Linked DNA regions of Mus musculus. The protein of the gene in region 1 interacts with the protein of each later gene in a biochemical or structural test. Links are inferred from orthologs where the notes say so. Each region holds a gene or a part of one and is shown on either strand. Other genes may lie near its edges.

Region 1 (6,202 bases):
GTGGGTTACAGTACCTATCTGCAAGGCTTTTGGGTTTTGAATGCTGTGTTATGCTATTTAGACAGCTAAGTGAGGTAATGAACACAAATCACTTAGCACAGTGTTGGCAATATTGCTAATAGTGCCCAATGTTGTTCACTTATTCTTCTTCCAAGGCCTTCCCAGATCCATACCCAGCACTCAGGAGGACAAAAGCATAAAAAGTAAAATTGACAACAATCTTGCTTCTTCTTCTTCTTCTTCTTTTTTTTTTTCCTAACTTCAAAACCAGGGAAAAACACACTGCTCATTTAGCAGTATAAAATCCCTCAGAGGACACTGGTAAATATGAAACAACTCAAGCGTCCTGTCTAGTTGGATGTTGATTATTTATCCAAGTGTAGGTGATATCTATAGCGGGGATGATGGCTGCACAGCCTTTAGGAGCAAATGTAGAAGATACAACACAAGTAAATTCATCCATCCATCCATCCATCCTGACCTCAGAGTATCTGTATCTGTAAGCTGTGGTGCTGGTTTTACTTGCATATGGCACCATGGGGTCTCGCCGTGTTTAGGGATGACATCTTACTGAGCTACTCAAATTGTTCATTGTTTTTAGGAGGCAAAGCTGGAGATAAGACGACAGTCTCATGTGTAGAATCTAATAATCATTTTCTTTCTGTTTTTGAGACAGACTCTCTCTAAGTCCTGACTGTCCTGGAACTTGCAATGTAGATCAGACTAGCCTTGAACTCATAAAGACTAGCCTTGATCCTGCCCCCTAAGTGCTGGGATCAAGGGTATGTGCCACCATGTTCAGCTAATAATTGTTTCTTAAATGGCCCCTTCCATGGGGAGGGCTAAAATGACCTGGGGAGTGTAAAAGCAGTGGGGCTGAGGTGCACATGGTGGTGAGGCATCGTCTAGTCTGTTTCTGCTCCCCACTATCCTTTAACCTGAGGTGTGCTGTGTGACTTTTGCTCGGGAGATGTCAACAAACATCTGTTCACCCCACCTAAGGCACTGGGATGACAAACCAGTCAGTCCCACCCACACCTAGTTTTGTGAGCAGTGACTGATGAGACTACTTACAGGAGAATGGATGAGGGGTACTTACAGGTGCATGGATGACCCGAAAGGAAGCTGCATTGGGAGGCGGGGGTGGGGGTGGGGTGGGGAGTGTTCATCCAGCAAGGATGAGAACTCACAAAAGCCGCATCTCTGAGGCTTCCTCCAAAACTTGCCCTAGCTGGGCTTTTTAGAAATTCTCAGAGATGTCTTCTGAACTCCATGTGTACCATGGTATGAGCATGTGAAGTGCACACACACACACACACACACACACACACACACACATCTTAAAATAAAAATGCCAGGCATGTTGGCACATGCCTTAAATCCCAGCATGCAGGAGGCAGAACTCTGTGTGTATGAGCCCAGCCTGGTCTAGTTCTAGGACAGCTGGAGCTACATAGTGAGACCCTATCGCCACAAAACTAAAGATAAATACAAGAGGGTCCAGTGAGTAAAAGAGTTTACTACCACGCCTGATGACCTGTGTCTGATCCCTAGGCCCCACCCAAATGCTGGGAGAGAAGCAACTCCTGAAGGTTATTTTTTGCCCTTTGCTTACTGTGGCATGAATCTCCCAGATAGATAGATAGATAGATAGATAGATAGATAGATAGATAGATAGATAGATAGATAGATAAATGCAGAATAAAGGATACAAAGAAATACCAATGCATGGCTTCTCCTCTTAACTTCCACGATATACTTTGGTCCCCAAACACAAATACACTCAAATTTATGGATATTTGTATTATATTTCTGTGGAGATGTGAACAAAAGTCTATTTACAGCAGGTAAATACCAATAACAGATCAATAAATGATTCCCTCAAGTCCAACTAGTGAGGCAATTTATTGGGTGAGTAAAAAAGAGGGCTGAGGGGTTACCCATGGAAGTGTTTGTAGCGGCTCTATCTAAATGTCCTACCCTAACATGGGTGACAGCTTCCCAAACACGAGTCCCCACCTAACATCAGCCAACCTCCCACCTTTTGTGTTTTAGCACCTTCTGAAACCACATGTAACCGGGGCAAAATTATGTACAGGTGCTTTGGAGGTACAGGAGCAACTAAAATCCCAGGTGAGGGTCTAAAATTACTAACAGGCCTGCCCAATCTTGGGGGAGGTCTCTCTCCCTCCCTCCACCACATGGACCCCAGAGATCAAACTCAGGCCATCAGGCTTGGCTATATGGCAGAAGGTACCTTTACCCACTGAACCACCTCGGCAGCCTCTCAAACAAGATGACTGTAAAACCAACCAACCAACCCCACAGAAACCCAGGAGTTATCCTACTGTCTCAGCTCTGTTCTGTATTGGTTGCCATGGTGGCATCAGCAGGGACATCGTGCTAATACATCATTTTCTTCTCAAGGAACTTCAGCATCAATTAAGCCATAGCATCACATTCACAGAGCGGGTCTTCCAGAAAACTCTGAAATTTGCTTTAACATCCCAGAACCCATTTTTTGGATATTTGATACTGGTTTACATTGTAAGCATTGGATGTTTAAATATCAAGATGGAGGCGTGGCACACACAGCAAGAGAATCCTGTATAAAGCATGTATGCAAAGCTATTAGACAAAGCAAAATACACAGAACAAGAAAATTTATTATCGCCAATGCTGGTGCATAAAGATTAACAAGCATAATTAGAAGAAGGGAGGGGGAGGGGAAGAAAGAGGCAGAGAGGGAGAGAGAGAATATGAATATCAGACACCCAGGTGGACTTCTGGGTAGGTTTAAAACCTTCAAAGTTTGACAACATAATAGCTCATACATCTTTTTATAGATACAGGCAGGATTTCTTTTTACTTGACAATTTTAGCAAACAGTTCTTACAATATGAACTTCAGTTATAGTCTTACCATCTGTCAAGGTACAAAACAGCAAGTGAAATTTCCCTAGTATAAAAGGGTATTAGAAAGTTTGTCTTTGGGCTTTCCCATACATTTTATTTAATGCATGAACTTAAAACCTTAAAAAGACATCCTGTTTCTTTCTTTACTTTGAAAATCATTACAATGGGTTTTTCCAAATTAGAGGTCACAGTAGCTTTATAAATCATGAAGATACATGTGCAGTCAAAATTCCAGAAGCGTTTGTAACACATTTTAAGATGACAGCACACATGATAACACGTCTACATTTATACCCACATTTACTTGGACTACTCTGTGGGGTAGATGAATACTCAATCTTAAACCTCAAGTTTAGCTTTTGATAACTGATGTGTATAAATCACCAAAAAGAATTTGGAAAGTTTTTTTTTTTTTCAATAGCCTTTCAGTTCGAATTAAAGACATCTTGGAATGTATTTCCCCCCATTCTTTAATTAGATTCTTGTATTGGTAGTCACAATTTACTCTTCCAAACCATCTTTAAAAGCTTAACAGAGAAAGCTCTTCTCCAATGTAAGGAAAATCATCTCGATCAACAGTCTGAACCAGAGGTTTTTGCTGAGCCCCTGTGAGACCAAAGAGGAACGATTTGGTCTTTTTCTCCTCGCGATTCTCAGGTTTAACACTCCTCCTTCCTCGATTCTCCTTTTCCACAATGCATGGTCATTCACTGTCCCGTCTTCTATTCCGAGAAACAAAAACCAACTGTTTTTATTTTTTGCACAGAACTATTTGGAATGAACCCCAAAATAGCAGAATGTTGAATCTCTCCCTCTCAGGTAGTTTCCTCCTCTCTCGTCAGCATTTACTCTCGATCAATGATCTCATCACAACCGAGCTCTTCGGTCAGTCGATTGACAACCATCAGCGAAAACAGCTCTTCGATAAAAGCTAGCTGGTCGAAAGGGCTCTTCTCACACCGCGCCTGAAAGCCGCCATCCAGGGCATCTCCGGCTCGCGCGGTTCGCAGGAACACCTTGTTGGCTTCCTCCAGGGCGGCGGACACCCTGTGCATCGCGCCGCTCCAGCGCTCCTCTTCAGGGAACTCGTAGTCGTCCTCCCAGTCATCAAACTCGTCGCCTTCCAGGTCCGCGCCAGCCTCGGGGAACAGACCGCGCTGGGCGCGGGCGGCGGCCGGCCCGGCCTCCTCCTCCATGGGGCCCTCCTCCGGGGCCGGCCCGCGGGCCCCGCGGCCTACCTCCATATAGCCCTCGCCGGGCAGCACGTCCATCTGCAACTCGTTGCTTTCTTCGTACAGCTCGCAAAGCTCTGCCATCTCCGCCATGGTGGAAGCGACTCGACCAAGGTGGAAAAAAAAAAGGAACCTTTTGCAGAGACGGGCGCGCGAACGGGCGTGGTGCGCGTGCGCAGGCAAGAGGGCGTGCGTGGAGCGCGAGCTGGGGGGGGGGGGCGCGTGCGCAGGCGAGTGGGCATGCGTGATGCGCGTGCGGAGCACGTTTCACGTGCGCAAACGGGTAGGCGGGCGTGGTGCGCGTGCCAGCATGGCGTGCGTGTGCTGGCGAGTAGGCCGCTTGGTCCACGGGGGGGGGGGGGGGCGTGGTGCGCGGGCGCGGGCGCGGGCGCGAGCTCTTCCCTTCCCACCCCTCACCCCCTATGTTTCCCGGACTCCCACCTCACCCTCACACCCACTCAGGACCCGCGATGCTTCCGCTGGTGACCCACCTGGAGACCAGCTCTAAGTTCCTTGCCAAGTGCTTGCTTTGCCTAGATGGAAAGCCCTGGCCTTCTGTCACAGATGCCATCTCTCCTCCACCTCCCTGCCTCCCCAGCGTTCCTGTGATCAGCATGTCCATTACCTCTCACCATTTCAAATCCCACTAGTCCCGTCCTGCGCACTGAGAAAATTTAACTTTTCGGTTTTTTTCTTCTGAATTTATTGAAGTTGACCTAACCAAAGATAAATTGTGTGTATGTCCACACGTATATACCATGGGGAAACTAAACCACATACATGTGTGAGTACTAGGATAAAGAAAGGTGGAAAATAGGCTATACATATTTTAAATATATACAGATAATCACGCGCCACGGTTGCTCTACAAACTTAAACTGTAGCCAATAGTGTTTGAGAATATCCACACCCTTACCACGTATTGTTTTATGGAATTAATATAAGTAAACTTAAGTTTTATCAATTTGATCTCTCTTTCGTGTGTATGCGTTTGTTTGCCTGTCTGTAATGTTTGTGTGCCACGTGTGTGCATTGTGCCTACAGAGGCCAAAAGAGGGCGTTGGAACTCCTAGAAACGAAGTCAGTTGTACACTGCCCTGTGATTACTGGGAGTCGAACCCTGGTCCTTAGTGTGAGCAGCCGATGCTGTTTACTGCTGAGCCATTTCTCCAGCCTTGATTGTATCTTTATAATCTTTCCATAGCTTTAGTTTATTATTCGTGGATGCAATGGCCCTGTCATGTCCAAGAGACAATGCTCCATAGCATTCCTCTTTATCTTATATAATTTTTGCCAATGGTCATTTTTTATATTCTTCAGCGAACTTTTCTCCAAAGTGTTACATGATCCTTACTAGTTTTACATACTTGAACATATTTGTATGAAATCTTCCTCTTTATCCATTAAATGAAGTTTCTCATGAGCTGTTATTGGAATATAATCTTTGCATGTTGATTTTTGTTCTTATTGAAATGTTAATAGAGAAAAGTGCACAGGTAATGTGTGTGGCTTAATTATCACAAGCTACATATATTTGTTTACTTACTACCCAGAAGAAAAGGCATCATTCGTGGATCCCAGAAAACCACTCTTCTCTCTTTTTGTGCCTCGTGAATAACCACAATTCAGACTTTATGCAAATAGTTCAATAAAAAGTTTGCCAGTTTTGATAAATGAAACGATGTATTGATATATTCTTTGTTTTGACTTCTTTTTTAACCCAACAAATATGTTGTCATATTTTAAGCAGTCTACTATTTGAATATCACAATAGTCACCTTCAGGATTGCTTCTAATTCAGGGCTATTATAAATAGCCTAGTTATTTCATTTCCTAAGGAAACATCTTGTTGCACAACTTTATTCAATTATTGTTGAGTATGCTTCTAGGAGCAGTTTTGCTTGGCTGTCTTGTATGTACAGCCTTCGTAGGTTCTGCCTCACAGTTCTGCAATCAGGATTCATTGGTAGTTGCATAGCTGGCATTTTAATTAACCTTTAAAACCTATACAAGTCAGTTATTGCACTGTGATTTCCAAACACAAGCAAACAAATT
Region 2 (6,226 bases), on another chromosome or scaffold:
GCCCTTTGTATACAGCTGGTCTTTCTAACCTGACTCAGAATTCACTCTGGAGATTCAAGGACTCTGACTTTATGATATCCATAGTCCCACAGTTCGGGGTCTGATGATGAGCTGAATTGGGTTTTGTTTGCTTGTTTTTTTGTTTTTGTTTTTGTTTTCCTGAAGGATGGGGATTGCCAACCAGGCAAAGGTGCTTGATGCTAAGCCTGGTGACCTGAGGTCTGTGCCCGGAACCTGTGTGATCGAAGCAGAGAACAGACTCCTGCAAGTTGCCCCCCTATGTCTATATTCACACCACGCACACAGGAGTGTGGAGAGCTTTGAGGGCCACTTGGCAGGAATCTGACATTGGCCAAGGACAAGGAAATGGGCTTCAGGCAGGAATCTGACATTAAGCCATGACAAGGAAGTAAGCACAGGCAGGAATCTAATTTTAGGGTAGAACAAAGAAGTAGGCTTCAGGCAAGAATCTGATTTTGGGCTAGGACAGGGAAGTAGGCTCAGAAATCTTGGTCACCCTTAGAAAAACAGTGGTCAAAGGAGTGATCACAGGACTTTGTTTATTGCCTTTGGGGATGGGGGTGGGGGGCGGAGACAGGGTTTCTCTGTGTAGCCCTGGCTGTCCTGGAACTCACTCGGTAGACCAGACTGGCTTCAAACTCAGAAATCCGCCTGCCTCTGTCTCCCAAGTGCTGGGATTAAAGCAAGGACAGTGCTTGTTCCTTGACTATTTGTGTTTATTGTACTGCTTGACCTTGTTACTTGCATGGAATTAGAATGGTATAAAAGCAGATTGGGAAAAAAATAAACCCACCTCAGCCTCAGAACTGGCTGGGGTCATGCTACAATGTTGTCTGTCCTTTTTCTTTTTAATCCTCACTCCTTCGCTGGAGAACCTGTTGACGGACTGAGCTGGCTTGGTCACGTGAGCACACAAAATAAATTAAAATGTAAATAAAAGCTCATCTAAAGATGAGACCCAAGCGAGATTCTCCTCTGACCTTCAATCACACGCACACACATATGCACACACATGCAGGCATACGTGCTCTCATTTACACACACATACACACACATATACACACATGTGCACACACATGCATTAAGAAAATAAAGCAGCCGGGCGGTGGTGGCGAATGCCTTTAATCCCAGCACTTGGGAGGCAGAGGCAGGTGGATTTCTGAGTTCGAGACCAGCCTGGTCTACCAAGTGAGTTTCAGGACAGCCAGAGCATATGGTAATTGTTGTATTGCCAGAGAGGGCATATATGTCCCCCAAATCATGAAGGATTGTTGAGTGGAAGACAATTAAAAGCAGACACCATGAACACCTCTAAAATCACACTCAGCATTTTGGGAGGCAGAGTCAAAGGGATCAGCGGCTTGAAGGAGCCCAGTCACACAGAGGAGAGCTCCCCACGATACTTCGACCTGCTTCAAATCAGGACATAGATTCAGGGGTTACTACTATTCTCCACACCATCATAGAGCTAGAAATAGGGGTCCCCAAAAACAAATAGTATGCTTGCCTCAGTACCCAGTGGAGAGTGAGTCACCCGTGGAGAAGGCCAAATCACTTCCAGGAAGTGCTTGGTATAAGATAGCCATTTTCAACAGCTTAATTTTGGGACTATGGCATGGCTGTAAAGTGCATGGCTAACCGGCACCAAGCCCTGGGTTTCACCCCCGCACTACCACCTCTGAAGTACATCTTGGTGGTGTATGCCTTTAATACAAGCTATGGGAGGTAAAGGCAGGGGGGCCAGAAACTCAAGGTCCTTCTCCAATACATAATTCAAGACCAGAGTGGACTACATCAGACTCTGTCTCAAATTGCTTTTGAGATCGGATCTTAATATAGATAGCCCAACTTTTGATCTGCGTGCCTCGGTCTCCTGAGAGCTGGGAATTAGGAAGTAAGCCACCATAGTCATTTTTAACTTTTAGTTATTGTCTATGTGGACTCATGTCCCATCGAGAAGGTGAAGGCCAAAGGGCAATTTTGTTTTGTTTTGTTTTGTTTTTCGAGACAGGGTTTCTCTGTGTAGCCCTGGCTGTCCTGAAACTCACTCTGTAGACCAGGCTGGCCTCGAACTTGGAAACCCACCTGCTTCTGCCTCCCAAGTGCTGGGATTAAAGGCGTGCGCCACCACTGCCCGGGCAACCTCGATATATTTATTTTCGAGACAGGGTTTCTCTGTGTATCTCTGGCTGTCATGGAACTCGCTCTATAGCTGAGGCTAGCCTCGAACTCTGAGATCTGCCTACTTCCACCTCCTAAATGCGGAGATCAAAGGTGCCACCGCCTCCCCGAATTTGCGTGTCATCCTAGGCGCAGCATCCATGCAAATCTCTGCATCGTTCCAGTTTTAGTATCTGCGCTGCCGAAGACGAGCACCCAGCTATCATTTTTAAAAATGCCCCTGGGAGAATCAGGACGCGAAAGGACCATTTATCTCTGCAGCAGCAGCCAGCTCTCGCCTCTGGCTCTTCCCAGTCCTCCAAGCGGAGTGGGCGGGACCCCCTGGCGTGGGCGGGGCGTTCCCAGCCACTCCCCCTGAGGGCGTGGTACGGCTTCTTAGGCTCCTATCGCGCGCGCGCCCGCCCGCACAGCGGCCCCCTCAGGTACGCGGACAAGATGGCGTCGGTAGCGGGGGACAGCGCTATGGAGGTGGTGCCGGCGCTGGCCGAGGAGGCCGCGGCTGAGGCGACGGGCCCCAGCTGCCTGGTGCAGCTGCCGGGCGAGGTGCTGGAGTACATCCTGTGCAGCGGCTCGCTCACGGCGCTGGACATCGGCCGCGTGTCCAGCACCTGCCGCCGCCTGCGCGAGGTGTGCCAGAGCAGCGGGCAGGTGTGGAAGGAGCAGTTCCGGGTGAGGTGAGCGAGCATCCCGTTCCCGGGACCCGCAGAGCCCCTCGGCGCCGGGCCTCGCGTGGGGCCCCACCCCGCCACCCTCCGGGCCTCCGGGCCGCGCGCCGCCCTCTTCCCGCGGCCGCAGACAAAGGCCTGCCTGCAGCCCGGGGGGCCCCCTCCGGAGCTCCGATGGGGTCGCGGCAGCCGCCCGAGGCCGGGGCCTCCGGAGCGCTCCGCCCCGGGGGGCTGCGGCCTTCACGCGCCTCCCGGCTGCAGGAGGAGGCGCATCTTTTGTGGCCGCTGCAGGATGTTGACGTGCAGGCAAAGCAGCGGTGCGTGCATTCCTGGCTAGCTCCTTAGGATGCCGGCATCGGACCTGCCAGTCCAGCTCGTGACCTTGGGGGTGGAGGGGGTGATGTCGGTCCACCTCCCTTCTCCAGAGCCTGGGTCTCCTGGTCGGTGATGAGACCCCCCCTCCTTTTTTTTTTTTTCCCATTATGGGGAATCAAATAAGATGAGGCCCGGGTTTGCAGGGCCTGATGCTGAGGGAGGCGCGCCATCCACGAGAACCGTTAGCATCACTGTGATTGTGGCCAGCGCAGAGATTGGGGGGCGGAGGGGGGGCGGCGGCTACTGGTGGTAGAAACGCTGCCTTTCGTGTCGCCACGCCAAGGTCACTGCATCTGAGTAGTGAGGGAATGCATTGCATACGCTATGATTATTGCAACTAGAGCCTCTGCCAAGTCCACCCCCCCCCCCTTGCCCGCAGACTCCTCCGTGGTTTTTTGCAGTCTCTGCGGAGCTGAGAAAGGGTGTTTTCTCTCCCCCCCCCCCCCTTATAGGTGGCCCTCCCTGATGAAGCACTACAGCCCCACCGACTACGTCAATTGGTTAGAGGAATATAAAGTTCGGCAGAAAGCTGGGTTAGAAGCCCGGAAGATTGTAGCTTCCTTCTCCAAGCGGTTCTTTTCAGAGCACGTAAGCATCAGGCTTGGTCATGCTCTGTGTGTGTGTGTGTGTGTGTGTGTGTGTGTGTGTATGTGTGTTCGTGCGCGCACGCGCTCGTTCGTGTGTGCCTGCCATAGCTTTTCAGCTCTTGTTCCTATTTCCCTTTTCACTGCTCACACAGCCCTTTGCTTGCATGCTTATAAGAGTCATTGTGTCCCCTCTCCTCCCGTCCAACAACACGGAGCCATTTGTCCCTGCTAGCCCTACTTTTTTTAAAGCCAGAGGGAGTGGGGTGTTGAGGAGCGGAAAGGGACACAGGGCGGTGTCCACTAGGTCCAGAGAAGCCTTACTCTTTGAGACTGTTAGGCGCTTTATGCACTGTCAACCTCTTGGTGCCTGTTTCCCAGGGAGGCTGCAGAAGTGCATGCCGTGCAGGGAACTGCCTTTTTAAGGAACCAAGGTTAAAAGCTGCCGTAGCTGCTCCTAGCCATTGAGCATTTCTGTTTATCACTGTGGCTCTTTGTTCCGAGAGAGGAGGTTCACTATGCGGCCCAGGCTGGCCTTGAACTCCCGTCCAGCCTCCTGAGGACTGCGATTCCCAGGAGGCAGCCTCAAGCCTGGCTCGAGTCGTGTGTCGCTTTTCTGTAAGGGCTGAGATGTGTGTTTCTTTTCAGGTTCGGAGTTAGTCGTTGTTTTTCTCCCTTGTCCAGAAATGTCCCATGGAAATCGGTGTCCGTTCCATTCACTACTTTTTGTAGGGCTAGGGAATTGTCCCCTCTCGTATTTCCAGTCCCTGCAGATTGTGAGCCGACCAGTGTAGCTGACAGTGCTTGTTTAGTTCTTCTAGGTTGGTGAAGGTTATTTTCTGAAGGTTAGTTCTGATTTCCCACTCTGCTGTTAAAGGAGTTTATGAGCAGCGTTTTCAAGGCGTTTCAAGTTTTGAAAGAGCAGATCTGAACTTTGAACACATTTTTAACTCAGTCCCCAATGGGAACTACAAATAGACACCCCCCAATTTGTTTATAGAAATGCTTGTTAACGGCAGAATGAACCAAGGTTTGGTTCAGTCTGGAACAGTGCCCCTGCCAGTCAGTAACTACAAGTGTTCAGTCCTGGCTTAAATGTGCGCACACACAGGTGTTTTGATGCGGGGCATGTGGGATACAGTTAGTCACAAGCCACTGGTTCACAGGCTCTCCCTGGGATCCACCTGTGGTTGTGTGTGCTTTTCTCTAATAATGATGGATCGGTGAACTCTACTCCCCCCCCTTCCCTGTGTCACTGCTTACTTAATTAGAACGTGTGGTGGACTTTGAACGCAGCAGGGGCACAGTTAGAGGTGGATGCATAGATGGGTGATCAATTTGGCTCAGCACACTGGTTTTCTTGTTTTCTCCATGTGCACACAAATCAACCTGAAACACTGGCTGCTTTCAAAAGGGAAACTGGGAAAAATCCCAGGATGTTAACCCAAGAGTCTTAATGGACCACCACTTCTACACACATACCATCCACTTAACACACATCTATCTCCTTAGCAGGCTCGGAAACTCGGACTGTGTGAGTGTGAGGCTGTAGCCACGGGTGCCAGGTCTGAATGTGCCGTGGCTGCCATGTTGGTTGCTTTCTGCCCTGGAGGCCCTAGGAGGCTGTGTGTAAGAGCCGCTGTCACTGCTCTATGTGTGGCCTCCCTCCCTTGGGACTCTCAGCTATGTGTCTGCCAGGGTCAGCCACGCTAACTCATGGTTGAGGCCTCCTGTGTGTGTCTTCTCCACAGGTCCCCTGTAATGGCTTCAGTGACATTGAAAACCTTGAGGGCCCAGAGATCTTTTTTGAGGATGAGCTGGTGTGTATCCTAAACATGGAAGGAAGGTAAGGCACAGCTTCACCAGGATAACTGCAGAGGGAATTGCTGTGGGGCAGAGAGAGAGAGAGAGTGAGAGAGAGAGAGATTGCGCGAGCGAGCGAGGGAGCTGCGGTGTTTCCAGATAGTTTATGTTATGCCACAGTTATGCTCTGAGAAGCTTTGTGTACACCTACTCCCGGGGTGCACAGTTGACAGGTGGCTCACCCCTGAAGTCCCAGTGCTCAGGAGGTCGGGGCAGGAGAAGCGGCAGCTTTGAGAGAGCGCTGCATAGTGAGCTTCAGAACATCCTGGGATACAGATAAAGTCTTTTGAAAAAAAAAAATGTCAGGGGAGCCGGGGAGACAGTCAGTGAAGACCCAAATCTGAGCTCCCGTGTCATGCAGTGGCCATTCTAGTGCTGGCCTTGATGGCCACCAGCTTAGGCACACAGAGAGTACCAAACTCCATCGAGAGATTGTCTCTAAAGCTAGTGCATATGACTCGTGAGGAATGAGACCTTTGATCGACCACAGGCCTCTATATACGCTCACGTGTGGCTTTACTGAGCACGGGAAGACCT

The links.
Region 2: of the proteins of Eid1 (region 1) and Fbxo21, one has a biochemical effect on the other in vitro, tested with the Homo sapiens proteins (2 studies listed by BioGRID, with this or other methods). The link is inferred for Mus musculus from reciprocal best matches to the Homo sapiens genes EID1 and FBXO21.

Annotation. Positions count from the first base shown.
Region 1 is NC_000068.7:125,671,230-125,677,431, reverse strand, and holds Eid1 (EP300-interacting inhibitor of differentiation 1), read right to left. Parts: upstream 4,241-6,202; coding exon 3,761-4,240; 3' UTR 1,789-3,760; downstream 1-1,788. UniProt on the Homo sapiens protein: Interacts with RB1 and EP300 and acts as a repressor of MYOD1 transactivation. Inhibits EP300 and CBP histone acetyltransferase activity.
Region 2 is NC_000071.6:117,974,164-117,980,389, forward strand, and holds the start of Fbxo21 (F-box only protein 21), read left to right. Parts: upstream 1-2,606; 5' UTR 2,607-2,637; coding exon 2,638-2,876; intron 2,877-3,694; coding exon 3,695-3,830; intron 3,831-5,577; coding exon 5,578-5,672; intron 5,673-6,226. UniProt on the Homo sapiens protein: Substrate-recognition component of the SCF (SKP1-CUL1-F-box protein)-type E3 ubiquitin ligase complex.